Rhinolophus ferrumequinum: one gene and its partners. The protein of the gene in region 2 purifies or fractionates together with the protein of the main gene of each other region. This does not show direct contact. Links are inferred from orthologs where the notes say so. Each region holds a gene or a part of one and is shown on either strand. Other genes may lie near its edges.

What was found.
Region 1: the proteins of SMARCA5 (region 2) and MYO1C purify together in Homo sapiens (affinity purification with western blotting; 3 studies listed by BioGRID, with this or other methods). This does not show direct contact. The link is inferred for Rhinolophus ferrumequinum from reciprocal best matches to the Homo sapiens genes SMARCA5 and MYO1C.
Region 3: the proteins of SMARCA5 (region 2) and BPTF purify together in Homo sapiens (affinity purification with mass spectrometry; 4 studies listed by BioGRID and IntAct, with this or other methods). This does not show direct contact. The link is inferred for Rhinolophus ferrumequinum from reciprocal best matches to the Homo sapiens genes SMARCA5 and BPTF.
Region 4: the proteins of SMARCA5 (region 2) and BAZ1A purify together in Homo sapiens (affinity purification with western blotting; 8 studies listed by BioGRID and IntAct, with this or other methods). This does not show direct contact. The link is inferred for Rhinolophus ferrumequinum from reciprocal best matches to the Homo sapiens genes SMARCA5 and BAZ1A.

The regions. Positions count from the first base shown.
Region 1 is NC_046304.1:16,396,619-16,404,687, forward strand, and holds the start of MYO1C (unconventional myosin-Ic), read left to right. Parts: upstream 1-4,873; 5' UTR 4,874-5,081; coding exon 5,082-5,156; intron 5,157-5,958; exon of another isoform or gene 5,959-6,096; intron 6,097-8,069. Other genes in the region: INPP5K (inositol polyphosphate 5-phosphatase K), read left to right, coding at 480-614, 876-959, 1,128-1,232, 1,414-1,473.
Region 2 is NC_046301.1:17,881,579-17,888,942, forward strand, and holds the start of SMARCA5 (SWI/SNF-related matrix-associated actin-dependent regulator of chromatin subfamily A member 5), read left to right. Parts: upstream 1-4,107; 5' UTR 4,108-4,514; coding exon 4,515-4,685; intron 4,686-7,364. UniProt on the Homo sapiens protein: ATPase that possesses intrinsic ATP-dependent nucleosome-remodeling activity.
Region 3 is NC_046304.1:43,234,113-43,241,768, forward strand, and holds the start of BPTF (nucleosome-remodeling factor subunit BPTF), read right to left. Parts: upstream 3,286-7,656; 5' UTR 3,088-3,285; coding exon 2,481-3,087; intron 1-2,480. UniProt on the Homo sapiens protein: Regulatory subunit of the ATP-dependent NURF-1 and NURF-5 ISWI chromatin remodeling complexes, which form ordered nucleosome arrays on chromatin and facilitate access to DNA during DNA-templated processes such as DNA replication, transcription, and repair.
Region 4 is NC_046289.1:83,112,172-83,120,288, reverse strand, and holds the start of BAZ1A (bromodomain adjacent to zinc finger domain protein 1A), read left to right. Parts: upstream 1-4,648; 5' UTR 4,649-5,044; intron 5,045-5,532; 5' UTR 5,533-5,590; coding exon 5,591-5,703; intron 5,704-8,117. UniProt on the Homo sapiens protein: Regulatory subunit of the ATP-dependent ACF-1 and ACF-5 ISWI chromatin remodeling complexes, which form ordered nucleosome arrays on chromatin and slide edge- and center-positioned histone octamers away from their original location on the DNA template to facilitate access to DNA during DNA-templated processes such as DNA replication, transcription, and repair.

The DNA of each region.
Region 1 (8,069 bases), on a different chromosome or scaffold from region 2:
CTGCCGTTTACCATTTGTTCCCTAGTTCCCATTTGTACCATTCTTTGGTGAGAATGCCGAGAGTCGTTCTCACCACAGGCACCGTCCCCCTGCCAAACTGAATTTGGGGCTTTGGGTCAGGAACCCAGGAGGCCTAAGAGCAGCTACCTGGCTTCTTTCTTAAACCTGTCAGCACCCCCCCCCATTCTCTCCCCACCTCACCCCTCAGCACTGGGCTCTCTACTTGGTTACCCGTCCAGCCGTCATCCCAGTCCTCCCTGACTGGGCAGCCACCCCAGACAAGTGTTGCCCTTTCTCTTTCCAGCTGGCCAGCCAAGATCTGCTGCTTTCTCAGAGCAGCCTAGCAGCGCTGTGCCCACTGCCCTGGTGCCCTCCTCCCTGCTCTGACCCTGGCTTGTTAGAAGGGCACCGTAAGGCCATTTGTCTCAGAGAAGGGAAGGATGCTGTGTATGTTCATCCCCCTTCTCACCCGTGTGTAGCTGAAGCCGTTGGTATGTGTCCCGCTGATTACCCTGGTGCCCGAGGGCCTGTGGACCATGGAGGACATGCTGATCAGCTACTTCTTGACCCCAGACTTCATCAGCAGCTCCTGGGACTGGATTGGACTGTACAAGGTGATGTGACGGGCATGACAGGGAGTCCCTCTGCCACAGCCTCAGGTTTATCCATCCTGAGGGCTCACAGGAGCTGGGCACAGACTGAAGAGCTCACCCTTACTCATCCCAGGGTCCTTGCCCACCTAGGGGCTGGCAGTGAAAGGGAGGGGGCATACAGCATGATGGCCCGACCTAGAAATGAGACTGTCCTCTCCTTAGGATGTGCCGTAGGTCCTGGGTACTCCCAGACCACTGACCACCCGCTCCCCCCTCCCACAGGTGGGGTTTCGCCACATTAATGACTACGTGTGCTATGTCTGGGTCAAGGACAACGAGGTCTTCTTCAGTGACAAGCTGAACCAGGTACCTGCCCCCCTTCCTAACCTAGGTATTCCACAACTCCAGCAGCTGGGCTTGCCTGAGCGCCCCTCTGTCTTCTGGAGCACACAGAAGGCTGGATAACTTGTGGCTGAGAACTGGGTGGGACCCAGGCTTGGAACTGACCCCATTCCTGTCCATCCTCCCCTCCAGGTGTACATCAACATTAGTGATATCCCTGAGACTGAGGACCAGTTTCTCCTGTGTTATTATAGCAACAATCTACGTTCTGTGGTGGGGATAAGCAATCCCTTCAAGGTAAGGCATGCTGGTGGGGTAAGGAGAAGGGTACGCAGAACCCCTCATCCGTTCCCCGAGGCCAAGGGCCGAGGAGTCAACCCGTACCTGGAGCCGCAGCGGTTGGGGAATGGGAGTGATGGAACAGCGGAGGAAAATGTGCTCTTTCCCCTTCCACTCACTGCCTGTTCTATCCCTGCAGATCCAGCCTCACGCCTTCTTGGAGAAGGACCCACTGGGTGAAGCCCAACCACAGATCTGAGCTGGGATGAGAGGGAATCCAGGGCGGAGGCCAAAGCTGGCAGCCAGCTCTGCTCACCACTGTCAGGAGCACTAGGGGCCCAGCCCAGCCCCTTGAGGAGGCAGCAAGTATCCTTCACCTCCCAGGGGGAGCTGTGGCCACACTCCTGTGCTCTCTCCAGTCCAAATCTCTGGAATTGGCCACTTAAATACAGGTTTTGTTGCTGAGACGTAAGTGAAACCAGCTAGTTTGTCAACAGTGAAGACCTGGGGACAGTCCACCGGATGTGGCAAGGACCCTGCAGCCTGCATTTCATTTCTTGGTTTTCCCCACACACACACTTCCAGCCCTGCCCAAGCAGGCCTGCCAGGCACATGCCCCATCTGGCACAGGCCTGCATTCTTATCACGCCATCCTGGGCCTCAGGCTGCCTGGGAGGCGGAGACACTCACACTTGTACAGGCTCCATAGACTGGTTGGTGCAAACAGCACTGGCCTCCAGGAATCTTGGCATCTCATTGCCTAGCTCCCTAAGGAATGGGCAGAGGGTCTGGGATCCTTGATTTGAGCAGAAGCAGTAGGACCAAGTGGGCAGGATGGAGGGGCCCCTCTACCCAGGCTTTTCAGTAGGGGTTGTGGGCAGGTTTATGACTGTCCTTCTGCCTGCACCCTCCTGCCCCCCCTGGATCTGACCTAGGAAATTCCTGGGCCTGAGCAGAGCATTGGACCCAGGTTCACTTCTGCTGGTGGGTCAGGCTCCATGCCCCCAACCTGCCCTTTTGTGAAGGGTTGGCAGGTGGTAGAAGAGCTATGGCCACAGACTTTTCCAGGGTGGTCTTTGCTCAGTGAACCTCATCTGGCTCTATCCTTGCCTGTAGTCACTAGCCAGAAACCTGCCCTCCCTCTAGACGACTCCGGGACCTAGAAGTGGGGGCAGGTAGACAAGAGAGCTGGAATTAAGACGTTTTGGAGAATCTGGTTCTGGGGGTCTTTAGAGAGCATTCTCCAGGTGCTTTATGGATGTGGCTGTCCCTGCTCCTACCACTTGCCTGCAGCCACTAGTGGCTCGGTGGCCCTTTTCCCAGGAGAAGACACCTCAGAGAGCCTACTCTGTGACTCATGCCAATCCTACAACCCAAGACTAAAGAACACTCCAGTTCTAAGTTCCAAGAACTGTCCCCTGGCTTCCGGTGGTCCATGGCTGTGTTCTGTGTATTAACATGGGGGGATAATTAGAAACATGGCTTTTACCCTGTGTGTGACTCCTTCTTGATGGGGGGGGCACATGGTGACGGGCCCTTGCTGGACTCCAGGACGAGCGCCCTGTAGATCCAGATTGACTTCCTGTGTCTGAGTGGCAGGTGTCGCCTGGATGGCAATGGGATGAGTGTCTGGGTTCCTGGCCCACGTGAGGCGTGCTACCGTGTTTCCCCGAAAATCAGACCTAGCCGGACCATCAGCTCTAATGCATCTTTTGGAGCAAAAATTAATGTAAGACCTGGTGGTCTTTTACTATAAGACCGGATCTTTATAATATAATAACATAATACAATACAACATAATACCGGGTCTTATATTAATTTTTGCTCCAAAAAACGCATCAGAGCTGATGGTCGGGCTAGGTCTTATTTTCGGGGAAACACGGTACCTATTTAACTAGGCACTTAATTTACTCTGCTGCTAAATAGAATGGGTTGCTTAGAACTACAGCTCTCGGAAAAGGTGCTTACTCTGCTCTCACTGGCCCATCCCGCCTCAGCTGCCACCCCCTCACGCCTGAGTCTTGAGCATAGGTCCTGGGTTAAGCTATCCAAAAATGCCATCATTTTCCTCTGCCCCCCACCCCCTCTACCCCAGAGTTCCCACGGTAACCTCTATCCCTGCTCCCAACACACACCCACCTGAGGAACCCTCATCCCTTGCACTTGGCCACTTCATTCCTTCTCACATACATAACCATCATGGGTGCTGCCACATAGCACCCTTCATTTGGCAGACAGGGAAACCACAGCTCAGAAATGGTGTGATCCTTTTGAAGTTACACAGGCAGCAGTGGTGTCATGCAGGACCAGAAACACAGGAATTGAGTCAAGACCTGGTTTGGAATCTCCATCTCTACCAACACAGGAGTCTCAGTTGTCTGTAAAATACAAATAATGTACCTATTCACAGGATTATTGTGAGAGAACAATTGTTAAAAAAAAAACCAGAGCAACACTATTATACCTACCTGGGGCTGGGTCTCAGGGCTCCTGTCTCCAGGGTCCCATTTCTCCTGCGTGTGGAGTGTGCTTGTCTACACGCCCACCTCTCTCCTTCCCTCTTCAGTCTTCACTCATTCCTACTCCTGCCTCCGTTGCAGAGCCCCTCCCAGCCTGGCAGGGGTGAGTCCAGCAGTGATTGAGAGGCGGGAAGGGGAAGGGGGAGTGCTTTCCCTCATCTTGGCTCCAGTCAGGATATGGCCGCTCTGGGCCCAGCCCTGACCCGCTGGGTGGAAACAGGAAATGTGAGAGACTTGGTGTGTGCTGGGTCTCTGTGCCTGGCTCCAGGGCTGATAAGGGCCATTGTGTGGCTGCCGGGGATGAGCCTGCCCTGGATAGATGTGCTTCCCGGAGGAAGGAAGGAAGCTTTGCTGGTTTTTCCGGGGCGGGGGAAGCTGTGAGTAGGGAAGAGAAGGGTGCTTGGGGGAAGGTGCCTGCGGAAGGGGTTGTCAAGGCCAGCGCAGGCCACTGGACTCCACCCCTCCTATGCCAGCATTTCCCTTCGGAGGGTTCCTTTCTCCCATCCACTTCCCCCTTCTCACTTCCTATAAGGAATGGCTGGAGACCCAAGGGCTCAGCCCCAGGCCAAGAAAGTGTCAGCTGTGATTTAGCAACTATAATAAAGATAGAAAAATAGGAACATTCAGGGTGGGGGCACCTGAGGGTGCTAATGGAAAAGTAAGGCTTGAACAGGGCTAAGGCTGCCCACAGCCAAGGAACCCAGGGACTAACCTCCCACGCCAAGAGTTTGAGGCTCCAGAGGAGGGTGGGACGGGGCTCCTCACAGCGCCCTTGCCTTTCCAGTGAACCCCCTCTGCCCAACAAGGCCTGCCCCCAGCAGCCCTGACCTTTCAAACTCAAGGGGCTCACCTGCTGCTGTGGAAGGCAGACAAACTCAGAGGGGCTTGCAGGAGGGGCAGGGCCTACCGATGGATCCTCTTGGTTTAGGGCAGGATATGCATTCTGGTTTGGGGAGTGATCACCCTGCTCTCCAGCTGACACCAGTCCGTAGGCAGAGGGAGAGGCCTCCTATCCTTTGACCTGGAGCCCAGGGTCCCCCACTGGTGGCTGCATCAGCTGCTCTGGTTACCTGGGACAACAGGCATTTCCTCCATCCCTCAGCCCCTCCTCTTCCTGCCTCAACCGGCTGGGCCAAGAGGCCTCCCAATCAGACCTGGGTTGCTCCAGCTGTGTCCTGAGGAGCTGGACCAGACACATCCCCTGGGGCTAGAATTGAAGCTGAACCAAGTGACCATCCCAGCGTGAGACTAAATTCCTGGTTCCAGGAGCAGCCAGAGCCAGTGGGCAGGCAGGCAGGCTTCTGCTCAGAGGCCCCGGTGCTCAGCACGCTGGCTATCCACAGGCGGAATGGCACTGCAAGTGGAGCTGATCCCCACCGGGGAGATCATCCGTGTGGTTCATCCCCACAGGCCCTGCAAGCTTGTAAGCTGGGATGTTCTGGACTGGGAGGAAGGGTGGCAGTGTGTGCCCAGGGCCCAGCAGCCCTCTCTCACGCAAACCCCTTGGGAAAGAGGTGAGCAGTGGGGAGGGCTTCAGCTCCTCCGTGGGACAGGAACAGACTGGACAAAACGGGTAAATGGGAGGGAGGGGTAAGGTTTTAAGCGCCACTATTAAGCACCACTAGAAGCAGGGTTTTTCAAAGTGGGGAATCTGGGTTTGAACCCCTTCTTCTGCTCCCTGATCCTCAATAGGCTGGGCTATGAACTGGGCATAACAACATCTAGGTGACTGGGCTGCTCTGAGGTCAAAGGACCTGTACAGGTAAAGCTCTCCAGTGGCGTAATACAGGCTTGGTTAATGCCTCCCCATTCCCAAAGAACTGGGACTGGCCAGCTCAAAGCAGTGGTGTGGACTGGACGGAGATGAAGTGCGAGAGGTAGTCACAAACGTGGAACCGAGCTGGCCCAGCACGCAGGGTAGGGTCGGGTTTGCTCTGGGATGCTAAGGGGTCCTAGGATGAGAAGGAACCTTATCAGACGCACTCACCCACCCACCCAGCGCTGCAGCGAGTGGGCTGGGTCTTCCCTGGAAGCCGGTGTGTGTGTGACAGAGAGACAGAGACTGTGACGCGCCTTTTCCCGGGAGCTGGTTGCCGAGTGTAGTACCAAGTCTCCGCGGACGCAGACGGGGGCCAGGGCCAGGACCAGGGCCAGGACCAGGGCCAGGACCCGCCGGCGCGGGGTGGGGCGGGGCGGGAGGGTGCGCGCGCGCGCCCGGGTCTGGGCCCAGCCTGGGATGACGACAGGCAGCGGCCCGGCCCCGGGCGGGCCCTGGGCGGGGAGAGCGTGCCCGGGCCGCGGACTCCAGAGCCGGCCACGCCGCCCAGCCTGGCCCCCGCCCGCGCACCCAAAGAGCCGAGCCGGTGGGTACGCTGGTCGCGGGCGCGGGGCGGGCAGCAGACGCGTGGCCCCGGGAGGCCTCTGTTGGCGCGCAGGATGGGGGAAAGGGCAGGCGGCTGGGCGCCGAGCCAGGCCCAGAGCTACCGTGCGGGAGGCGGGGGTCGTGGGCCTGGGGATCGCTGGGGCTGAGGGTCGGCTTGGCCCGGGCGGTGCCGGGTCCCAGGACCCGATGACGCCAGGGCTCGGCCTGGTGGAGACTTGGATTACTTGCGGGTAACGTGAGGACTGCAAGGAGAGGCTGGGGTTCCGGGACCCAGGCACCCAGCGCGCCCTTTGGCCGGGCTCGGACTCTGCCTCTGGGTTCCGGAGAAGCCTCCCGAGCCCCGCCCCTTCCCGTTCCCCGCCCCCGGACCCCCGCACGCCTGGGCGCGTATGACTGTAGCGGATGGGGGGCTTTGAGATGAATGAGAGAATGAATGGCTGGCCCACGGCCTTATTCATCTGCCGGCATGCTCTGGCCTCCTGCTCTCCCTGCTGGCTCAGTGATTCATTCATGAACGCAGGCGTCCACGAGGGGTTATTGAGCCCCCACTGTGTCAAGCTGGGTGTATGTCCCAGGCAGAAGCAGTCTTCTGGAAGAGACTTGACCAGGAAACCAGCGATTAGAGCGTAATGCGATAAAGAGGGGCCAGAGTGTTGAGGGTAGTCAGGAAGGGGTTCTGGAGGAGGTGATACCTGAGCTGAGTCTTCAAGGATGACTAAGAGTCAGTCATTTGCGGAGGGGAAGTGTGCACAAGGGGAAGGAAGCTGCAGGTGCAGAAGCAAGAAGTATAGCCACGTGTGGCTAGTGGCAGGGGCTGGAGCAGCTCATCCTGGCTGTGTGTAGTGGTGAGACAGACATAGGGAGAGAAGGACTGGAAAGGGGCACCCCTGTGGTCACACAGGAACATAGGAGCAGTGCGGTAAACTGAGGACAGAGGGGGGCGCTGGAGTCCCTATGCCGGGGCCTGGCAAGAAGCATTGGGTATGAAATACAGGCTTGGCACATGGACTGGTGCCCTATAAACCTTCACATCTATTAACATGAGATGTTAATTGATCGGATTGTATTTGTAAATACCACAGGCTGCTGTGGGAAAATGGATTAAAAGGAGGAAGGCAGGGAGGCCAATTTAGAGGTTGCTGCCTGGTCCAGGAGCAGAACAGTGATGGAGGAGCACAGGGGAGGTTTTAGCAGGTAATGACTCCTTGATGTGAGGAGTGGAGGGAGGAGGGCCTTTTGATACCAGGTGGTAAAGACTAGCTGGAGGTGTCTCCCTTCCCTCTACATACAGGATGTTGAACAAGGAGAGTAGGTTAGGGGGCAAGGTGCTCTGTTTACTTCTACTGGACCACCAGGCAGAGGTGTCTGGCAGGCCAAATACCCACGGTTCTGGACCTAGATTGTACAGCCCTTGAATGGAGCCCTGTGAGCAATTAGATAGAGCCCCATCCCCCGTCACAACAGTTCCCTTGGGTCTGGAACAGTCCTTGGAGGGGCAGCCTGGGCCCAGACCTAAGATATGTTTGATAAATATAAATTGAGCACCTGTTCTGTTCCCAGCACTGCACCGAGGGTGAGATAGGCTATGGTTTTTTCCACTGCCCTAACAGGCTATGTGGCTGTCTCAGTAAAGATCAACTTATAGCAGTGATCTGGGGGTCCTTAGAACACCCTTTCCAGACTCACGAGGCCCTGGGCTGAGGGAACATTTGAGGCTGCCCATTGCCCTCTCCACTCCTCCGGAGGTCAGACTTGGGGGCACCTGGCCCACACTAAGTAAATGGATGACTCAGGTCTGCTGGGACTGCCCCATCCCCAACTCAGGGGTCATAGCTACACAGCCAGCCAGCCCCTAGGTCCAGGGCCATGCTGGGGACCCAAAGGCCATGGCCCACACTCCTTAGCTGCTACTCCTAAGGCCTACTTGTCAATGTCACACAACACCCATAGGGT
Region 2 (7,364 bases):
TTTAGCATCTTTTGTCCTCCAGCAATATCTCTTTGCCCCACTCTATTCAGTATAGCACACGCTGTTCTAGTACACTAAGTAGGAATTTTAGGTATAAACAATATATATTTGTGTATTTGAGATAAAACACTAACATGGTTTCACATTAGCATTCTATTTCTGGGAACATACTTATAGCACTAATTCCTTCTAGTGTTTTCTTGACACTATTCCCCTTACCCTTCTCCTTATTAAAAAACCACTAGGTTCCCTTTCCTCCAACTAGACTCTGACTTTTACTTAGGCTTATGATTTTTCAGGATAAGAATATCTAACACTTGAACCAAGAGCTCAGTCTATGTCAGGCACCGTATTAAACACCCTACGTGCACAATCTCATGTAATTCTTATGACATCATTGTAAGAATATTATATAAAGTTGGGATAATATACAGGTATACCTTGTTTTATTGCAATTCACTTTATCACACTTTACAGATACTGCATTTTTTACAAATTGAGTGTCAAGCAAGCCTATTGGTGCCATTTTCCCAACAGCATTTACTTACATCATGCCTGTGTGTCACATTTTGGTAATTCTCACAATATCTCAAACTTTTTCATTGTTATATTTGTGATGGTGAATATTACATACACTTAGTTGACAAAGCAGCAGCAGGATTTTAGAGGATTGACTCCAATTATGAGAGAAGTTCAAAATTGGGTAAAATGCTATCAGACAGCATCACATACTACAGAGAAATTGTTCATGAAAGGAAGAGTCAATTGATAAGGCAAACTTCATTGTTCTTTTATTTTGAGAAATTGCCAGAACCACACAAACCTTCAGCAACCACCACTCTCTGATCAGTCAGCAGCCATCAACATTGAGGTAAAGACCTTCCACCAGCAAAAATTTCTGACTTGCTAAAGGCTCAGATGATGGTTAGCATTTTTTAGCAATAAAAAAATTTAAGTTCTGTACATTATTTTTTTAGACATAAAAAAGTGTGCTACTTATTGCACACTTAATAGACTACAGTATAGTGTAAAAAAACTTAACTTTTACAGGCACTGGGAAACCAATCTGACTCACTTGATTGTGGTATTTGCTTTATTGTGGTCATCTGGAACTGAACCCACAGCATCTCCAAGGTATGCCTGTAATAACAAAAAGATGAGATGATTTCAAATCAGTTATATAACTTACCTGACTTCATACAGCTACTAAATTCTGGAGCCTGCACTGGAACGTAGGCTCGCCCAACTCCCCAGCCTACTCTCTTACCACATTAATCCTATATTATGCTATCAATTCCAGAACTACCTGTTAGTTTTAGCCTATTAGTCGTTGAAGAAAAATAGGCCGTTGTGATTTGACCACCCTGTAAGTACTACATCTGCCTAACTCAGCTAATGTCCCTGTAGCTCAGTTTCCAGGTGTCTGGTCTTTTCTGTAGCTCTTCTTTCCACTTCCTGCTTCTAGATCATCCTCAAAATTTATTTCTCTGTTCTTGATGTTAGTTAGATTAGTGGATTCCAACATACTGTCTCCGCTTCCTCCTTTGTTCTAAGTATGTCTCCTGTATAATTTTCCCCATTAAGATTCCTATACAGCTTTCATATGAGAAACCTATGGTGTAAATACACACGTTAAAAGACAATTGCCATTTTGGAGACAATTTTATTTATTGCTTTTCTTGCTATTTATTGCTTTCCTTAAATACCTGTCATATTTAAGAAACTTCCATTTATATACTTCAGTATAATTTTAGGGATTCTAAACCAGCACCTACCACTATAAAGAGTGAAGAAACATTCTGAATATCAAATAAGTGTTATAGTCTTTCTACTTAACAATGTGAATATTAAATATTTATTCAACAACTATTTATTGAATGTCTATACATCAGATACCACCCTAGACACTACCTTTTTACCCTTCCACCCTTTCCACACCATCTTTTTTTGGTGAAAGTACATTTTTTAATATTAAAAATAAATTTTCTCAACATGATACACAAATTTATCTTAGAAAAAAATATATAAACAAGCAAAAATCACACATCAGTAACAATCACTTTCAATACTTTTTATGAATATCCTCCCAAATTTTCATCTATATTTTTGAACTATTAAACTTCTTTCAGTAAACATTATATAATGAACATTCTTCTACATTAATAATTGTTCATTTTGTGGGTGTACAATAGTTTTGGGGGTATTTTAATTATTTTTATTGGGGAATATTGAGGAACAGTGTGTTTTTTCAGGGCCCATCAGCTCCAAGTCAAGTCATTGTCCTTCAGTATAGTTGAGGAGGGTGCAGCTCAGTTCCAAGTCCAGTTGCTGTTTTCAGTCTTTAGTTGTAGGGGATGCAGCCCACCATCCCATGCAGGAATTGAACCAGCAACCTTATTGTTGAGAGCTCACACTCTAACCAACTGAAACATCTGGCCACTCCGGTGTGCAATAGTTTTAAAATCATATTTTCAATGTTGGATTCAGACTGTTATTAGATTTTTGCAATTACAATGTGAAAACTATTATGAACGTGATTGCAGGTACAGTAGTTCCTCGGTTTTTGAACGTCTCCGTGGACGAACATTTCGGTTTACGAACGCCGTCAACCCGGAAGAAAATGCTTTGAATTACCACCATGCCTCGGAAGTTGAACATGTCATGCAGCTTCCATTGAGTGCAAGATCCTGAGGCCTACCTGTCAGCTGATTCCCAACATTTCAGAACTCAAACGGTCTTCTGGAATGGATTACGTTAAAAAACTGAGATACCACTGTATTTATCTTTTCATATTCCTTATAATCTCAGAAATAGCATTTCTAGTGGGCTGGAAGACATTTATCCACACCTCAATTAAAGAATTATCATTAGATTATTTTAAAAATTTGTAAGCTATATATTCAAAAGGAGATCCCTTCTGTTTGAAATTCTAGTTAAACAACCAGTTAGCTTAAACCTTAAGTCTCAAAAATGTGTCCCATTTTTTAATAAACACTGATAAAATACTGGACAAGGGGATACAAAGATGAATAAATACCTGTGTAGGGCAGATGATTTACTGTAATATGCACATCTGTAATCAAATTGCATACAATGGACTTAAATTCTATAGCAGTTGGATACAGAAAGCTGGGTTTCAGAGAGCCTCAGACTGTGCAAATAATTAGTACTGATTATCTCTTCACACTTAAGGAGACTGCACTTTTTTTTTTCTTTTTTCTTGGGGAATATTGGGGAACGGTGTGTTTTTCCAGGACCCATCAGCTCCAAGTTAAGCCTTCGTTTTCCATCTCATTGTGGAGTCATTGGTTTCATCTAGTTGTGGAAGGCGCAGCTCAGTGGCCCATGTGGGTATCCAACCCGCAACCTGGGTGTTATGAGCACTGTACTCTAACCAACTGAGCCAACCAGCTGCCTGGAGAATGTACATTTTCATTTACTGCTTGGTGGTTAAGGAAAAGACACAACCCAGGGCCTCGCTTCCTTATTTATTGATTACTCATGTTTCTCACTTTACATGGTAGAATACACACAATTTGTTTACTTTCAGCATATAAATTCAGAGGAAATATCTTCTTTGTATCGAAGTAGAAGGTATTGAGAAATTGTTATGGCTAAAATGTGAAAATTAAGAGGAAAATAAATCAAACTAATGGGCATTCCTCCTTAGACAAAAAACTGAGACATCACTTGGGATAACGATAACGTCACCAACGCTGTGGCGTCACGCCTGTAATAAAGCATGGTACTAGAAGTGTTAAAGCCAGCACAGTCCTCCAAGTTTCAGTAGGTGATGCAAAACCTGGGCAAGTTTTCAGCGAGCGACACCAACCCAGGCCACGCCAAGAAGACACCGCGGCCGCAGACACTGAGCCGTTATAGAAGCGCGTTAAGAGTGCGCTCGCGTCAAGCCACTGAGCCGAGGCACAAACCTGTCTCAGAGCTCTCGGTCGAGGCCCCGCCCACTCTCGTACAGGCCTCGAGAGGGGCCGAAGGGGGCGTGGCAAGGGGAAGGAGAAGAGGATGCGCATGCGCATTCGCAACCCAGTCTATTAGCCAACTATCAATCTCGCGAGGGTTGAAAGTCGGTGGCGTAGGCAGTTGTCCTGGATGCTGGAGAGGTAGATGATATTGACCGGAGGAAGACGGGACCGCGAAGCTATTTCTTCGCCTCGGTCTTTTCTTCGCTTCCTTTTCCCCTTCCCGCAACCCTCCGCCCTCCTGTTAATCAGCCCGCCTTTCCTGACCTCAGTGACCCGGGTGGCTCCGCCCACTCTCGTCAACGTGATTCCCGCCGTGAGGTAAGCGCCGGTCGAACCCGATCCCCGCGGAAGAGGACGACGACGAGACGAGGAGGTTGCTGGTCCCGGTTCAGGCTCGACCCGGAGCCGCTGCGCAGAAGGCATTGGTTCGTTCCTCCATCAGTTCATTGAGACGTAGCCACCCCGGCCTAGGCCTCCTGATCCCTGCCGCGCCCGGCCTCCGGCAGCAGCGGGTGACGCAGACGGAACATCATGTCCGCGGCCGAACCTCCGCCACCCCCGCCTCCCGAGAGCGCGCCTTCCAAGCCCGCAGTCTCGGCCGCCAGCAGTGGAAGCAGCAACAACAAAGGCGGCCCCGAGGGCATCGCGGCCCAGGCAGCTCCCTCAAAGGTCGGCGCTGGTCCCGCTGACTCGGAGATGGAGGTAAGGGTGGCTTTGGGCACAGGGAGAGGGTGCAGTGGGGAGAAGGAGCTAGTTCACTTGTCTGCATTTTAGTGATCAGACGCAGGGCCGTACTTCGTACTTTGGGGTCCTCTCTACCCCAGATCCGCCTCAGGCCCTTTGGACCTGCAATGATGCTCCTCCCTTGCGTCCGGTGCTTAACCTGCCCAAACTGACTATGGGTTTCTGGCACTTAACATTTTTAGCGAATCTTGCCAAATCTTCGAATGCTCTTATTAAACAGATGTTCTTGATTACTGAGGCCGAGAACGACCTACCCGTTGTTTTTTTCCCTCCTAGACTCCCATAATTCCCTCTTCCATCTCTGAAGCAAGGTTTTAGTTTCTAGTAAACTTCGGGGACGGGCGAGGGAGCTGCCCCTGAGGAGTGAGGGATAGACGGGCGGGGTGGGAAAGGGATTTAAAATCAGCGCATCCTAGGACTTGGGCCTCCTTTTCCTCATCCTGGTCCTTGCGGGGGCGGTGTCTGTTCTTGGCAGAAAACAATGGCGAGAGCTGGATGGCCGAGTGCGCAGTGGGGATAAGCTGGGCGCAGCTGCTCCAGTGAAGGGAATGGAGGCCCCTCCCAGGCACTGTTCCGTTGGGAGGGAGGCGACCAAGGCTGCAGCAGCTGTCTTGGACCCCCATCTGATTTTGAGGGAGGGGGATGGATGAATGGGTGAATGAATTAGTAAGTCAGGGACAGTTGGTTGGTTGGCATTCAGTCCAACGCAGTTCCTCTTTGGGGGCCTTGGACTTTCTTTGAAAATCGGTACTGCTCGCCGCCCAGCCTGCCTTCTGGACGGGTTGACCAGAGGATGGTGACAGTACTGGGGAGGTGGAAAGATTGGGGAGCTGTCAGGTGGGTCTCTTGGGTGTGTTCCAAGGTTTTGTGATGTCTGAATAAAGTGATTGCTTGCTTCTTCCAAATTTTATTCTTGGCCTTCGATCTGTTTTGAGATATTTTATAGTCGCAGCCCAAAGATTTCTGGGATTTTTCCATCCTTGGATAGACAGAATGAAGGTAATACTGCTTTGAAAATGAGCCTTGATGCAGAATTAACCCAATAAGGAATTGTTAGTGCAGTTTACCATTGAAGTATTTGGCGCAATAGTTTTGTTTGGTCACCGAAGGTCTAATTGAGGGTGAAGTAACATGTTGTAATATTTTTGAAAGAACTTTTAGTGGTGAGGTAGGTTTTAGTGGACTAGGACATGTGATATTCTGTAGTTTTCAGTGGTTTGAGATTTGTTTAATATTCCTATCTACCGTTGCCTATTTTTTTCCTCTAAGGCTCTATATGGTTCTTTTAGATTACCAGGGAGGTTTAACTTGGATTCCTGCTCTATGCATGGCTTAAGGGGATTTGAAAACCTGTGACACTGAAATTGTGTCTAAATGCACACAATTCTTTGCAAAATGATGTTCATTCATAGTTTTCACTGGCTTTTCAAAAGGGTCTGCCATTAAAATTTTGGAATAACCAATGTCTCCCTAGAGATCTTATTTAAATATCAAAAGCAGAGTAATTTAAAACCTAAATATTTTGCTATTTTTAAATTAAAGTTGAATTAAAGTTTAAGTATGAATATTGACGTGATAAGTACCGTATGAAGTCAGTGGTATGTTTATTTGCTAGATGATGAAATTGAGGCTGCTGCTAAGTAGAACCTGTGGTAGAACCTGTGTCAGGCTCTAAGACTGACTCTTTTCCAACATATTTTGTCCTGTCAGATTCTTAGAAAAAAGGTGGTTAGCAATTTCATTTATTGAAGAATGACTAATAAGTTTTTTTACCTTAATATAGCAATATCAGTAATTTTGTCTTTTATCAATCTCTTCACTAATTTTAGTTTTGATTTTTTTGTGTTTTCTTTTCACATAGTGTGATTGGGGGGGTGATCTTTAAAATAAATGTACCTTCAGTCTGTTATTTTTGTTTGTCTCTTAACTGAATTCAGAAATCATTGAGGTTTACTGGTAAAAACTAGGTTTGCGCATACATGCGTAATACATCTAGCAATCTGTTTCGCAGTTGGAAAAAAAATTTTAATGCCATTTTCTTGTTTGAAAGTAGAATTTAAAGTAGGTTTTTTCCAAAATCAGAAAATAAATGAAATCATGCATTCATGATTTTTTCTGGCAAAGCTGACCTTCCCAGAAATATTAGCTAGCTTTCCTATGTATTCAGTTAATTTTTCCTTTTTGCTTGGTACTGATAGGTCAGCGAGCAATCTTTTTGTTGATTACTATGATCTTTTTGGTAATGTGATGAAGCCTATCTTCCATCATCCTCATCCCTCACTACTGACTAGACTGGTAGAGAAGTATATGCCAATAAACTAGACTGACTATATGCCAATAATTGTATGAGCTCAAGTCCTGGTCCAAATCTTTCTCTTTTTTTATTAACTATGAAAGAAATAATGACTACTTTTGGAAAGCACATTTTGTTTTTTTTAAGATGTACTTGACCTCTCATGGTATTCTACTAACATTTTGTGAAGTAGGCCAGGTAGGTAGCTTTGTCTGTTTTACTTGTGGATACCAGAGATTTGTGATGAGTTTTAAGGTTACACGGGTGCTTAAAAGTCTTAGCAATGAACTTAGACTTGAATTTAGATAATTTGACCCTTTAATTCTAGTACTGTACCAGCCCCT
Region 3 (7,656 bases), on a different chromosome or scaffold from region 2:
CCTTCTTCCCAGCCTTTATTGTCTGGAAGTACAGACAAAAAAACATATGAAATTAGTGCTTTGCCAAAACAACTGTCATGGATTGTTCCTCACTGTAGGAAAGTGGATACATTCTTAAAGTTTAAAACACAAAATGTATCACCCCTTCTACCATGATCTTGAGAAATAATGTCTCAAAAAGTAAAACAACCAACAAGTTAATATCACATCCAATGAAGAAAGGAAAATGCCTGGCAAGCAATATGAAATAGCAGCTCAAAACACACTAACTCTGCTACAAAAACATTCACTATCAAAATCTAACAGGACCAATTTTCAAACTATCAAACTATCAAAATCTAACAGGACCAATTTTCAGTTTCCCAAATCCAAAACATTTAGGAGTTATGGTATCCACTGTAGCATTATCGAAACTTCATCTGTTACAAGTTCTCACCTACTAACAATCATTTATCCAACCAATCTTTGATGAGCATCCGCTACATGCATGCCAAGACACTGCGCCAGGAAAGTTAGGGGATGTAAGGTTAATATAAGGATGTATAATCTTTAATTTCATATAAAGATAGGACAAGTATACACAAGATAAACTATAAATGTCATTAAGAAAAAATGTCATGTAAGTACACAAATATACAAGTATTTTTTAAAAAAGGAAACACAAATTGTAATTTAATTCAGCATACATATGGCTACCAATCCTAAATTTGCTAGGCCTTCAAAGAGAAGTTAACATTAGCTGAACTGCCCTGCCAAAACACCTTATATCTGTGTAACCTGAAAAAAAACTGCCTGGGATCATGTAATTCAGTTTCCAGGGGTTTCAATTCTGGGCTCTTGGTACAGAAGACCACATGTGATTTCTTAAAAGTAAAAACTATTACTATAAATGACATACTAAAATTAAGTTGGCAAGAAATGAAAAGTGGCATCGTCCCTGCTACAGACAAGACAAAAAAAGTTGACACTTGATTCATTCCCTTCATTCTCCTGCCAACACCCCCACTCCACAGACAGGCAGATATTCTTACTGTCTGGCAAAAGAAATTACCTTTTTCATTTGCTGTTAAGACAATCTAAATGGAACTACACCTGGTTTAATCATCATACTCCGCCAATAAATATTTAATCATTTATAGAAAATGGAAATATTTAAATTGACTGCACGAGCAGCTATATTCTACTACGCAGTCTCTCTTAAAAAAACAAATGACACACCTTAAGATCCTATTTCCTCAAAAACTTTACTTTGTAAATGCTCTTAAAACTGGGTTCTAATTTAGTTAATCCAGATAAACAAAAATATAAAGGAAAAAAATCTTGTAGGTTATTGCTACAAGTTACGCCTTTTTCACAATTTAGTAAGATTCAACCATGTATTTAACACAAAGCAGCAATCATGTGGCTTAAAAAATAAAAACGCATCTCAGCACCAGCCTAGAGAAACTTTCTGTGAGAAAATAGGGGAGGAGTCACCATGGGGAAATTCATTACAGATCCAGGGAGGATTTTTATCCTTCGAAAAGGAATGAGAAAAAAAATTCGTTTTCTAATAAATCCCCCTCCTTCTGCGGTGTGACTTAGAAGTTGGTCCAAAAGTTCATCTTCGGCAATTGTGTCTGCATGATCAACTGTACATCTCCTGCAACAGGTGACTCGAAACTGCATTTCCCAGGCAAAGCAATGGGATCAAACTTAATTAAGACACAGGTTCCCGTGCTTCCTTACTTTTATTTTGGCTTTTCCCAAAATGACTTTGAATGGGGTGAATTACCACGTTTGTTTTGGTTTTGTTTGGTTTTCTGCTTTGCTTTTTAATCAGCCATTTACCAGCAACTGTTGCACGAGCCCATTAGCACTCAATAAAAACAAACACACAGGACCAGATAAGGGTCCCCTACTAACCCAAACTGATCCATTTCCTCAACACGATTTTAAAACCACACGGTGTGCTAGGGTGTGAAGAGAAACATGTTGTATGTGTATGTCTGTGTGCCACAACCTGTCTAAATCCTCAATTCCCTTTTAAGGAACAGATATAGAATAAAAAGCTAAAAGAAACCACATTAGAAATGCAAAGAGGTTTGCAAAACAAGAGGCTTCTTTCATTCCAAAAAAAAAAAACCAAACCAAAACAAGGGGGAGAAAAATGAATGCAATGGGTATGTGTGCCAAAGTTTCAATCCTGCCCGATGGAGACACTGCACTGGCACAAATTTTGAAGAGGAAAATGAGGGGGTTGGGGGTAGAGAAAGAGAGCAAGCGAGTGTGTGGCCTGCAAACTGCAACAATGCAATCTCCATTTTGAACAATGCGCCTCTATCCTCTGGTAAATCTCGTTTTTTGCCACTGGATGTGCCGTCGCATTTCCCCTCTGCTGGGGGGGAGGTGAGGGTGGGGGAGACCAGAGAGGGAGTGAGTAGAGGGGGAGGGTAGAGGAGGTGGGGAAGGAGTCTGCAGCAACGGGGCTGGGTGGGTACCTGGAGTGCTGCTATAGGTGCTATGGCTCCTGAAGCTGCTTTCCGTGCAGTAACTGGCGTCGTCGTCGTCGTCTTCCATCTCCTCCGGATAATCGGAGTCATCGTCGTCCTCTTCCATCTCATCTTCCTCGTCGTCCTCCGAATCCTGGGTCTCCTCGGCGTCGCCGTCCTCCTCCTCCTCCTCGGAGACCATGTCCTCCTCCTCCTCCTCCTCGCTCTCGTGGTCATCGTACACCACTTTGTTGACGGCCCTCCGGGCCGGGGTGGTCCGGGCCAGGTGGCCGCCCCCGCCCCCCGTCCTGCCGCCCCCGCCTCCTCGCCCCCCCCGGCCCGGGGCGCTGGTGCTGGGGGGGGCCGGCGGCGGCGGCGGCGGCGGCTTCCTCCGGCTACTGCTGCCCCCCCTGGGCGAGCTCAGCCGCGTCTTGGGCGCCACCTCAGCCTGGGCGGCGGCCCACCTGCCCCGACTGCTGCCGCGGTGCCGCGAGCGCAGCCCCCCGATGGGTCCGGACGTGGGCGGCGGCGGAGGCGGCGGCGGCGGGGCCGGGGCGCAGCGCTCCGCAGCGGGAGCCGCGGGCTGCTTGGGCGGCCTGCCCCGCCGGCCCCTCATGTTGGAGCCCAGGCGGGGGGAGAAGGGAAAGCGGAGGGGGGAGGGGCGGGCGGAGGGGTGGCGGTGGGGGGCGCCGGGGCCGGGTGGGGAGGCCCGCGGGGCCGGGCGGGAGGGGCCCGGCCGGCGGAAGCGGGTGGAGGGAGAAGGCTCAATCCGAATTGCTGGGGCCCCACTCCGGATCGCCTTCAGCCGCCATCTTGTTTCTTCCCTCTCGCTCGGTGACTGGGGGAACCGACAGCGGCCGCAGGCCCGGAGCGCGGTCACGTGAGCTGCGCCGCCGACGAGCCTGGGACGGAGCGAGGCCGCGCGGCGGCCGCTAGGGGGAGCGCGGGAGCGCCGGATCGGGGGCGGGGAGCCCGGGACGCCTCCGCGCGGTGCGGCTGCACCACAGACGCAGGCGGCACGGACCCGAGGGGCGCTCCCCCGCGCGAAGTGTCCCGCGCCAAAGGTCTCGGTGACGACTGCCTCCACGGAGCCCCCGCTGGAGCCTGAATTTAGCAGGGCCTCCTTCCCGCGTCTCCCCCCGTCTCCGACTCGGAGGGAAGGGAAGGGGAACCCCCAAATGTATCCCCCTCCCGCCCCCATGGGGGAACTGATGCTGAAAGAGCCAGAGAGGGTATTGCGGGGGGAGAGGGGTTAACTAGAAGGACCGAGGGGGGATAGAGCAGGTCCTGCGACGGAGGGAAATTAAGAGGGGGACGGGGCGACGAGCCCCCAGAAATGTGAAACTCCGAAGGCTTGATTCTGGAGTCCTGAAATTGATCCCAATGACAACTGCTGGAGGGCTGTGCCAGGAACCACGCCCTGGGCCGCCAGACCCACAGGGAGTCACTCCGAGACTCCTTAGTTTAGAATCCCCACCCGAAAAGCCTCGGATAAACTCCGGAACGCCAGCTACGTCCCAGTCTCCTCCCACCTTTCCCAGGACCCCGGCTAGAAAGTCGGCCACCTCAGCAAGAACTCCCAGTTTCTCGTTTGCAGTAGTAGAAAGGGTGACTTCTTGCCTAAAACCTACTTCAAAATGCATGTTTGTGTTATCAGGAAGTAATTTTTTTTACCTGAGAAATCATCAGGTCTCGGCTTAGCCCAGGGGACTGATCAAGATGATGAATTTTTAGCCACCCCCTCAACCAAACCCGGGGCATTCAGCTCGCCATGGTCAAGGATAACTCTAAATAAGAAAGGTTTTATAAACAATATTTACTGATATATGTGACTACCCAAGTTTCTTCCCTATCACTAAGTGGCTTATTAGTCATTAGAAAGAAAGGACTCTGCGTGTATGAAATGAAAATACAAGCATTAATTGCTAAATTAATTTATTCCATATATTTCACCAAGGGTGACAAACATACGCCTTCAGGGACCAGGTAAGTAATGAAATTTCATAAAGTGAGTGAAAACTTTGTCAAATGGAAGTGCCTGTGTTTTGTTTTAAGAAGGAAGTTGTGGGAATGTGGGCCTAAAATAGCCAGGTCGTCAAATTTTTCAAGAGAAGGTGGAAATGTGCACTGCATATGAAATCTCACGATTTTTAAGTGTTGGCCATTAGGTCAATTTTTTATAAACACTTCGGATTGATCAAAATAAATGCAGTTCAAATATATGGCCCAGAGTCTACAAGTTTGCAACCTGTGTCCTACACTATGTAGTGCCGTGTACCATAGGGAAGATACTAGAAAGAAATGGTGACAGCCTTCTGTGTTCACAAACTAATAGTGGAGGAACCTGTTTATCAGAAAAAATTATGACAGATGGCACAATGAAAGGTATATTATTTGGAGTTTCTAATTGCAAGCAACAGAAAGTGACCCTGGCTCATCTAAACAGAAAAGAAACTCATGAGAAGGATATGGACACCTCCAGAATTGCTGGTTCCAACAATAAAGGGGATCCAAGCTCTCCAGCTGTTATCTGCTCCTGACTCAAGAGCTGTGTATTCCATGGGCCGTTCTACTTTTCCGTAAAGTGAGCTCCTTCTGGTTATTGGGGTCCACAATGGGGCTAGTGAATCTGATAGGACAGCCAATTTCTTCTTTCACTAAAGTTAGTGCTGTGGTCCGATGGACTGAATGTTTGTGTCCCCCACCAAATTCCTACTCCCCAATGTTGAAACCCTACTCCCCAATGTGACGGTACTAGGAGGTAGGGCCTTTAGGAAATAATTAGGGTTAGATGAGGTCATGAGGGTGGAGCCCTCATGATGGGATTAATGCCCTTCTAAGAACAGGAGAGAGCTTGCTTAGAGCTTGCCTTCCCTCCCTGCTCTCTGCCACATGAGTGTATAGTGAGAAGTTGGCCCTTTGCAACGCACGAGTGCTCTCATCAGAACCCGACCAGGCTGGCACCCTGATCTCAGACTTCCAGCCTCCAGAACTGTGAGAAAGAAATGTCTGTTGTTTGAAAAGACCCAGTCCATGGTAATTTGTTGTAGCAAATAAATATCTAATGTTTATAAGCTATCCAGGCTAGGAATATCTGTTATAGCAGCCTGAACTGATTGAGACAGATGCCATGATGTCTAAAATACCATGACGGCAAACAAGGTATTCAGTAAACTCACGTAGGATGGTGGGAAAAGCAAATCCTCTTCCCAATGAGGTTGATTCACTGTACCCACCAGGATAGCAAGGAGCCACTATAATGATGAATGCCGAATGGGCACTCAGCAGTGGCAATAGCCAGGTCAGCCTTGCCAAGGAGAAGCCCATGATCGTCGTCAGTTCACGACCCCAGTCAGCAGACACTGGCCTGACTAGGGAAGGAGCTGGACCTACTTCCATAGGATGGGTCTTCTTGTCCCCTAACATTAAATCTTCAGCAGTGGGAACATTAGGATAACTATTCACACAGAACACAGCTACTCTCACTTTCTAGGTCTGTTCTGAGAGTTTCACCTACATCCACGCCCAAACCTCCTTTTCACCAACCTGAATCCCTGACCACCTCGCCCATGAACTGGTATAGTCTTTCTTGAGGCGAAGAGAACCGTAAGAGAACAACTCAGAGCTCTGCCCACTGGGAAGATTTCCTTTTCCCACGGCCCTTGCAAGGCCACTTGCAAGTATAGCTATAACACCTTAGCAGTCCCCTCCCAGCTGATACTATCTGTAAACCAAGCTCAAATGTCCTCCTTAGTCACTTGGTCATGGGAGTTTTCCATAATGTGAATTGAGGGAGGGGTGCCAGTAAAATGAGAGTGAACATACTGGGAGTTGCACGCCTGTGCCTTCTACAGGACCTACTCAGAGCTGCTCTTCTATATCCCATGTCTTCTTGGGGAAGGGATTGCTACAGGGCATTTTATGGCTAAGTGGGACAGATACTTAATAAGATACTTAATAAGACAGTTCATAATAAGCCAACTAAGTTACATGGTCACCTGGTAATCTGTGGTCAGGGTTCCAATCTTTGTCCAGGCCCAGGAGCAATTTAAGAACAGTTTATAAAAAGGAGAGTGGTTATTAGCCAAAGAGAGCCAGGCTTTGCTCTGAAACCCTGAGTACAATCATAGTGATGCTCTTTGGGGGGCTTGTCATGGGCTTTGTACTGCATCCCAGCATGTGGCCGCACACCGAGCACTGGATACACCGGGTCCTGGGGACCAACCAGCAGAGCACCGTGCATGCAGCCTGGACCTGCTGAAGAAGCTTCTCCTGCTCTGTGCTGTGGCTCAACGTTAGCAAGCTTTCAGGTCACTTGGAAAATGGGTTAAAGCAGCACATACCAATGTGGTATATGTAGTCTTCTAAATCCAGAGAGAGCTGCCAAGTATCCAGCACTGTCAGAAACCACCGCACCCCACAGTCCTTGAATTCCTCACATCCAGTATAGTTCTATGGCTTACAGCCACTCACTCTTCTAAAGACTTGCCTTTAATTCCAAAAGACACGGGTGTTTCATTGAATTGTTTTGCCACTAGTTGATATAGGGTGTTTAAGTCTCATACCTCAACACTAGATGCATTTTCCTTACCATCACCCTCAAAAGACTAGACAGTCACAGACCACGCCCACCCCATTTCCCTGAGACCTATGGCCTACAACCACTCTGATTCCAATTTCTGTTATCAGTTTGGTTCTTGGTTGCAAGTCACAGAAACCCATGCTGAGTCCTTTAAGCTCACAGGATCTCTGGGAGTGCCCCAAAACCAGGCTCTGAGGCTTGCAACCAGGAAGTGTCCAAAATCAGATTACAGAACTAGTGAGGACAGCACGCTGTTACTGCCGGGCACCAGGCCCAGCTTGTCCTGGCAGCATCACCCCCCTGGGCACTGGGCACTGCTCCACAGCACTGCTAGCTTCCAGTTCGAAGGCCGAGGGGGATTGCTGAGTACAGGGTCGAGCTGCAGGGAAGGTCAGGATGGTGAGTACCTGGCGTTCAGCTCCCATCACGTGGAGGATTCCTTCAACCTGAGGGGATTAGGTCGGATGGGATACGACACACAGAGAGGGAAGTCAACAGGAGGCGACTTGGACTTGGGTAACTTGGAGAGTGAGAGCTCACAGACCTGCAGTTAAGACTCATAGTCACCACGGGAGCTGGTTTAGGAAGGAAGTGATCAGCTCT
Region 4 (8,117 bases), on a different chromosome or scaffold from region 2:
TAACCATTCATCCATCCAACAAATACATATTGAAGTCCTGTCATGGCAAAGGCACTATGCTAAGTCCTGTAAAATATTTAGCACAGACATTTTTACTTTTTATTTGTAGTTCTAAACTTATTCCCAATTGTGAAGTGAAATAATTTATTACATCAGCTATCTGTCCTGACCTGCCTCTTTACCGTTTGATCTCTGTATCATAAAAAATTTTATTCATCTTTCCACAATGAAGTCTCCCTTTCATCCCTGTCCCCTAGCAACGCTTTCCCTAAAGGCAACCAGTGTGTTATTTTCCTATATACTCTTCCAGATGCATTTTATGTATCAAGCAAATATGTATATATTAAAATCCCATACATATTTTTTTCTGTAGCTTTTTTTTTTACTTCCTCATTCTTTCTTATATCTCCATACTATTCCACTGCATGCCCTTTATAAAGGATGTGCCTGTTGCAAATCTGAAGGATGAAAAATGTCATCTCAATGTAGTTTTAGTTTGTATTTCTCTTATTTTTAGTGAGGTTGAGAATTTTTTATGTGTTTTAAAAGCCATTTGTATTTTCTTTTCTGTTTTTCTTCAGTTACTGTGATTTTACTATTACTTATATAATAGGGAAATAGCAAATTATTTATATATTAGGAAATTAGCCTTAGCCCTTTGTCAGAGAATTGCAAATAATTTTCCCAGTTTGATATTTGTCTTTCAAGTTAGTTTGTGATAGCTTTTGTAATGCAGAAATATTTATTTTTATTTTATAGAATTATCTTTATGGATTCTGGACTTTGTGTTATACTTTGGCTTTCCCAACTCAGATAATTTTCTTAAGTTCTTCATGGTTTCCTGTAGTACTTTGATGACTAACGAACATTCTTAATCATTACAAGTCTAAATTGTTTAGTGCATAGGCTCAAGTTCCTTGTTTCAATTTATATCTGAGCTATTTAGCAAGCCAGTCCCATGAAAATATAGAATAGTAATAAGGAGTTAGGACTCTGGAGCTGATAATTTGAGCTTTTCTCCTTCTGGAGTGTATGACGTTAATTAACCTCTCTGAGCCTCAACAGCTTCATCTGTAAAATGGAGATGCTAAATCGTACTTAGTTTGCTGTGAGAATTCCATGAGATGATTCATTTAGCATAATGCTTGACAAGCTGGAAGCATTCATTAAGTGTAAACTATTACTGTCATAATGATGGCCATAGACAATTCTTTCAACCCCTACTACCATCCCATAACTCATGACTTTAATCACAAGGGGTTGAATAAAAAAATGCATTCCAAATTTGCCAACATTACCACTTCAGCACTAACAATCCAATCTCCTCTAAGCATTGTAGTTCTTGACCATGGCAGTACGTTAGAATCACTCAAGTAGAATTTTAAACTCCAAATGCCTGGGTCTCTACCCCAGAGATTGTTTTAATTTGTCTAGGATGTGACCCATACATCAGTATTTTTCAAAAACCCCTTTTGTGATTTCAATGGGCAGCTAAGATCTAGAATCACTACCCTAACACTAGGCCAGGTTTGATATGAAGAGAAACATATTCATTGCTACTAAAGAAACATATAGAAATCTTTCATAGTTAAAATGCCATGAATCAGGAAGACATTAAAAGGAGAACACAGAAGTGTTGAGACAGGTGTCAGAGATATTGAGGAAAGGAGTTATGAAGTTGAAGATATTCCTCGTATATATTTATAAGACATCTTTCTCAGAAGAGCTCAGGGAAGCTATGCTCTAAATACTTTTATAACTGCTACTTAGAGGTAAGGGACATGAAGTATTTATACTATCTATTAGATGTGTTAGCTGAAGAAAGGAGCTAGGACTCATCAGCTGTTCAATTAAATAAATTTAAGCTTCCTATTATCCCCATTGTTTTCCTGGATAACTCTCAAAAAAAATATTATTTCTGATCATGAGTAATATATCTTATCCCCTTACACATTTTACCAGTTTAGAAAGTATTTGGAATGGTACTGTAGCTTATTTATAGGTACAGTGTAAGTAGGATATACAAGATAATTAGATATTACCGAATTCAAGGAAAGAGACACTTGGTTTAGAGAGTGTGGACAAGGAGTCAGGAGATCAAGATACCAGTTCCTGAGCTTCAGTTTCTTCAGGTGCAAAATGAGAGAAACAAGAGTTCCCAAAGGTTTCCTTCAGGTGTCTCGCCAAGTCACCTAAGTCTTTCTTAATCAGTCAATTGAATACAGGAAAAGTATTCTAGCTCTAGCTTTTAAAATACTTATTTCATAGTCTTGTTTTGTCTTTACCTATACCTTTTCGAACATTAAACTATGCCTTGATGATATTAGATTAATATATGTATTGTCTAACTAGTATGTTTACATTCTAAATTTAATTGGGGGCCATTGTTGTCTTCACCCAGAGGGGTAACTAACTAATGGGGGGGGGTATGTGCATCTTGAGACTGGTGAGGGTATGTTGGAACATGAGCTTTCTATTGCTCTTCAAATCATGCCTTGTGATGCCTGCATTTAGGACCAATTCTGGGTCCCCCTTCTACATATTCTTCTAATCTTTTCTACTTCTCTTTTTGCATTATGTTACTCATGATCATTAGGACGCACACAATTCTTGTATTGGTTGTCTTTACATCACCTCTACAAGAGTATACATTTTTTGAGGCCAGGATACTTATATTATATCCCTTACATGAGCTAGTACAGTCTTGGCACATAAAAGGAGACTGATAAATATTTGAGTAAGTTGTTAAAAAAATAATTTAAATTTCATTGTCTTCTCTTTTTTCTATGCTACTGTAACTTTCACAGTTTGCTTTATAATATTTCCAAGTTTTTTACACAGTCTTATTTCATACTCTTATTTCACAACAGTATCTTTTAACTACTTTCTGAATATAGCAATAAGCTTTTCAGTCTCAAAAGTCTAGAAGTAGTAATTAAGAAAGCAAGGACATAATCATGATACCAAAATACAAAATAAATAATGTATTAGGTAAGCTTTTAGTAGTAAATGTGTAGGATAACTTCAAGAGAAGTGTTATTTTGAGGTAGCTTAGGTATGCTATCAATTTGATCCAGTATTACATACACATCAAAACTAAACTTTGTTAATTATAATTTACTAAACTTACATTATTCTGAGTTAATAATAAACAACTACGTATAACATTTATTAAATATCACAAAACATTTAAATAAATCCTATATATGTAACTCAGAAAACTGAGCTATGATAGTACTGAAATTTGAGTATAGTAGGAGGGAAATTGAGTATGATAGTATTTTGATGAAGTAAAATAAAATTTCAATTTTAAGTTAGTAGAAAAAAATCCAATTGTTTAAAAATCTGTATTGTCTAAGAGCTCATATATGACTGACTAAAGCTGTTAGCCATTTGTCAAGCAAATGAAATGCCATGTTCTTTGCTATTATTTTACTGTGGTGTTTTATTTGTTAATTGTATAGAAGTTGTGTATTGAAATACAGTCATGTTCTGTTTTTTTTAAAAATCTGTATTTAATAAAAGAAAAAATCAACATTACAATTTTTGATCATGATGTTACCAAAATTACTTTAACAGCTTATCAAATAGTGAGATCTAAGAAATACAAATATTATTATATTCAGAGAAAATTTCATCTGATTTTAGTTTAATAGTTAAGCTGGGATTTTGAATTGTGAGAATGATGCTTCAATAGTGGTTAAAAATCATCCATCCTCCTTGACCCCCTTTGAGTCTACCTTTGTGGGTTCTTGAAAGAAGTTAAAAAATGATAATTCTTGAGATTTGGATAGATTACATTTTCAGCTCCAATGGACACATGCACTTAATTTGAAGATACCAAACTAATCCCAATTTTTTTCTGTAACTATGGTCATTTCACAGTATTGGTAGTTACATCCTTTTGTTAAATGACTGTTCTTCAAACTTAATGTCTTTTAGACTCATTCTTTCATATTAATCAGCAAAGAAGCAACTGTCAAGGGCAGTAGCAAAAAAAAAAGACCATTTAAAACAAAGCTGGCAAACATTTGGAGTTATTTGTAGTTTTGAAAATTCTTAATTTAAAAGTCACATGTATTATGTGTATTAAAATTCGTTTCACAAAAGGAAATTATAGATATGGTAAAGTTTCTTTAGAGGAAATTTCACTAGTAAATCCATCTTTAAAATTTGAAGTGATTTAATTAACTATTGATCCTTTGCAAAATATTTTCAGGGGCATATTCTAGATACAACTTTTTAAAGGTGTGTTTTTTAGTTTTAAATATGTGGGGGGTCCAATGATGACATTTTCTAACACACTTTTTTGATCTTTTCCTCTGCTAAATCTTTGAATTGCCCTCTCTGAGTATTAAAGAGAACTGCTGTCAAGTAAGGTACTTTTTCAAGATGGATGTTTACACAAGCAAAATATTGTTTTAGACACTAGAATTCTAATTTTGAATAAAATATCAAAATACTTTTTATCTTATTCCTCGTTTCTCTTCCTATGTTTAAAATACAAGTTAGATGTTAATTGTAATCATTTCCCCCTCATATAACCAAGCGATGGTACCAGGCTTGAAGATGAAGGCTTTAGTTTGTTAGCCATGTGTTTATGAAACCCCAGCGCTTCTCCTAGATCTTTTGGCTGATAATCTCAAACATGGAGGATGCTTCTGATTCTTCACAAGGGGTTGCTCCATTAATTAATAATGTAGCTCTCCCAGGCTTTCCGCCGTCTCTTCCTGTATCAGTGACAAGCTGTAAAAGTCATCGAGTAGCCAATAAAAAGGTAGAAGCGAGAAGTGAAAAGCTCCTCCCAACAGCTCTTCCTCCTTCTGAGCCGAAAGTAGATCAGAAACTTCCCAGGAGCTCCGAGAGGCGGGGAAGTGGCGGTGGGACGCGATCCCCCGCGCAGAGCCAGGCCGTGGCAGCTGGAGAAGCGGCGGCCGGGGGCGCGGCGGGGCCGGCGAGAAGCGACCCCCCAGGAGGACAGAGCCTCCCCTCGCTGCCTTCGGTAGTTGAGAAGGTGGAGAAGTGGCAGTAGGCGTGCTCGCAGGTGAGGGGCTCCGTGTGGTCGCTCAGGAGCCGGCCGGCGCCGGCAGGGAAGTGTAAGCGAGCGGGCGAACAAAGCAGAGGGGCGCCGGGGTCCGCCCGCAGCGAGCTCCCTTGCGGCGTCGGGCTGGCCGGCTCCGCGCCGAGCACGTTGTGAGCCCCGCCGCGGCGGCGGCGGCGGCGGCGGCCCGGGAGCCGGCGCTGGGGGAGGGGGGCGCCGCTCCCGCACCGCCCGCCAGCGGCGGGGCGGCCAACCCCATTGTGAGCCGGCAAACGGGCGTGCGGAGGTGGGGCGCGCTGGGAGTGCAGAGGCGGCGGCGGCTCGGCTTGCTTAACACCCCGGCAGCGACCGAAGCGACCTCGGCTCCGGTGGCAGCCGCGGCGCGTCAGTCACACAAAAGGCAGTCGAGCTTCCCCGGCGCGCGGACCGGCCCATGCCGCCGCCGAGCGCTCCCCACCTTACCGGCTTTCCTTTCCCTCCAATTTTGATAGGGAAGCGGGGCCGACGCGGGCGGCCGAGGGTCGGGGTGAGCCCGCGGGCGGACGGGAGATGCCGCTGCTACACCGAAAGCCGTTTGTGAGACAGAAGCCGCCCGCGGACCTGCGGCCCGACGAGGAAGTTTTCTACTGTAAAGTCACCAACGAGATCTTCCGCCACTACGAGTAAGGGCCCGGCCGGGCGCGGGGGGTGCGAGGGAGTGTGGGGACTCCCTCCCCAGTGTCCTTTTGTCTCCCCTCCCTTTCCTAACTCTGGGCTTCTGGCGGGGCGACTAGAAAATGACGGGTGGCCTCAGGCCCGCGTTTCTGAGCCCGACCCGGTGACGGCGCGGGGTTCCAGGGCGGCACGACCCGCCGAGGTGCGTGTAGGGAGAGCGGGCCGGGGACGCGGACGCTAGGGTCGCTGGCCCGCCGTGTGGACCGCTTCTAGCAGCGGCTGCCGCCCGGCAGTCGGGCGGCGGAAACTCCCCGCCTCACCCCTCCCCGCCGCGGCCACACGCGCACTTCGGGGCCAGTTCCGGGATCCCCGCCCGGCAGCAGAGGGGATCCCCGCTCAGGTCAGCAGCACGGGGCCGCTGTCCCCCGGCCTGGGGAGGGAATCCCCGCCCCCGGGGGCAGGAAACGGCCGGGCTGGGAGTCGTTTTCTCGGTCGGGAGTGGAACCTGACGTTGGAGCTGCCTAGGGTAGGGGCGGGGGGGGAGCGGAGTTGAGAGTCAGGAAAGGAGGGGCCTCGCTGGGGGCCGTGGGGCCCGGGACACGACCCTCTGTCGGCGGCCTCCTGTCTCGTGCGGCTAGGCCTCGGGGTATACGACGCGAGCCGTGCGCTCTGTCACCGCCTCTTCTTGGTGACTAACTCCCGGCCCCGGGGAACTCAGCGTCTCCGCCTCCGGGAAACCGGGTGAGGAAGAAGTCTGGGCTGGGCGGGGGAAGAGGAGGGGGAAAGAGCAGAGCCCTGGGTGCCCCTCGTTTTCACTTTCGAGTAGCCGGGTGGGCCGCGGTGGGGGTTGGGGGGAGGGGGTTAAGACAAGTTCAACTCCAGCTTCAGCCCAGTCTCTTTTATCCCCCTGCGCATGTGGGCCGCCTGACATGTGCCACTCGCTATTGTTTTGATAAGAATCCGGAGCTGTTGCGTGTGTAGTTTGAACCCCTACATTTTCAGTCTCTTGCCTGGTTTATCCCAAGGGATCCCCTTGTCCTGTGATACTAAACAACTGGGTGTTTTTAGAGATACGTTTTTAAACACAGTTTTTCTCCAAGTGAGAACCTGAATTGATCAATCACTGAACTAGCCCCTATCCCCCTTTTCTTATGCTTTATTCTCTCCACTGAGAAGGAATCTTTTGTGGCTTAGAAACCAAGTGTTACAGCAACCAAATATAAATTGTGTGTAAGAGGCACCTTTTCTGAGTGGGGGCTTGATCGAGGGAGAGCTTTAGTCAAAACTGCACCTGTCTGAGAAATGAATACATAGTGAAGTTAGTAAAGTCAATTCCTGTAAGCTTTTAAGTAAGCCTTCTTTGTCTTCAGCTCCACAGAAAATTACACACAAACATGTTATATCTAGAGAAGTTTTTTAGCAGACAGTACTTCTTAAATAGGAGTGTACATCTTACTCTGCTCCTGTACAGACTTGTTTTGTTACTCAAATAGAGTTCACTCTTGTAACTACTTAAGTGAATTTGGATTAGGTAACTAGACAAGGATGATATCTTTTTTTTTTAAGTTTAAATTAAAATCTTAGTAATCCAAATTTTTAAAAAATTGTATTTAAATACGAGTGCCAACAAAATAAGAAATGGGCCTAAATTTCAAACTCTTCTCGCCTTTGATATAAGCAATCTTGTCTTTTTTAAGAGGCCCTTCTCACTTTAGAAGAGAGATTGAACATGGCTGTTACCTTTTTTAAACAATTTTCGTGTACTTTGGTTCTTGATTATTTACTATAATCATGGAGAAATTCAAAATGCTGAAATAAAGGAAGAGATTTTTGGTAATCCAAGTCTTACTACTTTCCATTAATATTAAGGAACTGTGTCCTTTGTAGCATTATGACATTAAATTTAAAAAAATAATTTTTTTCCCCCTCTGTGCTGACTTTTTTTGGGTTTGGGGAAATTGCAAGCAGTTCAGGAGAGGCGATTGGTTTGGGAGCAAAGATATTTAATTTACTCTGAACAAGCAGAGCTACTGATATTCTTAGGTATTAGTCTTTCTGATTTTGAATTGGCAAGATTGGAATAAGACTGCCATTTCATTGTCTTAAATTTTGAGTTACTTTATCTTTCTCTCAGATGATTACAAAGAGATCTGCTAAAATACTGTGTATTCATGGTGGATATTATATGGTGGTCTGCAGTATTCTGGTAATTTAACCCTTAGCACACATCTGGAGAAACTATAAAGAAAACCTCAGTTTTCACTCATTCGTTGAATCACCAATTGGTTTATGTGAGTTTGAAGATTATCCTTTAAGTGCATTATCTTGAATGTTTTTCTTCCGTATTTGTCTGAAGACCACTATGCTTACTACTTGCTCAGGTTTTTTATTTCTTCAATATAACACCCTCTAATCAGTCTCA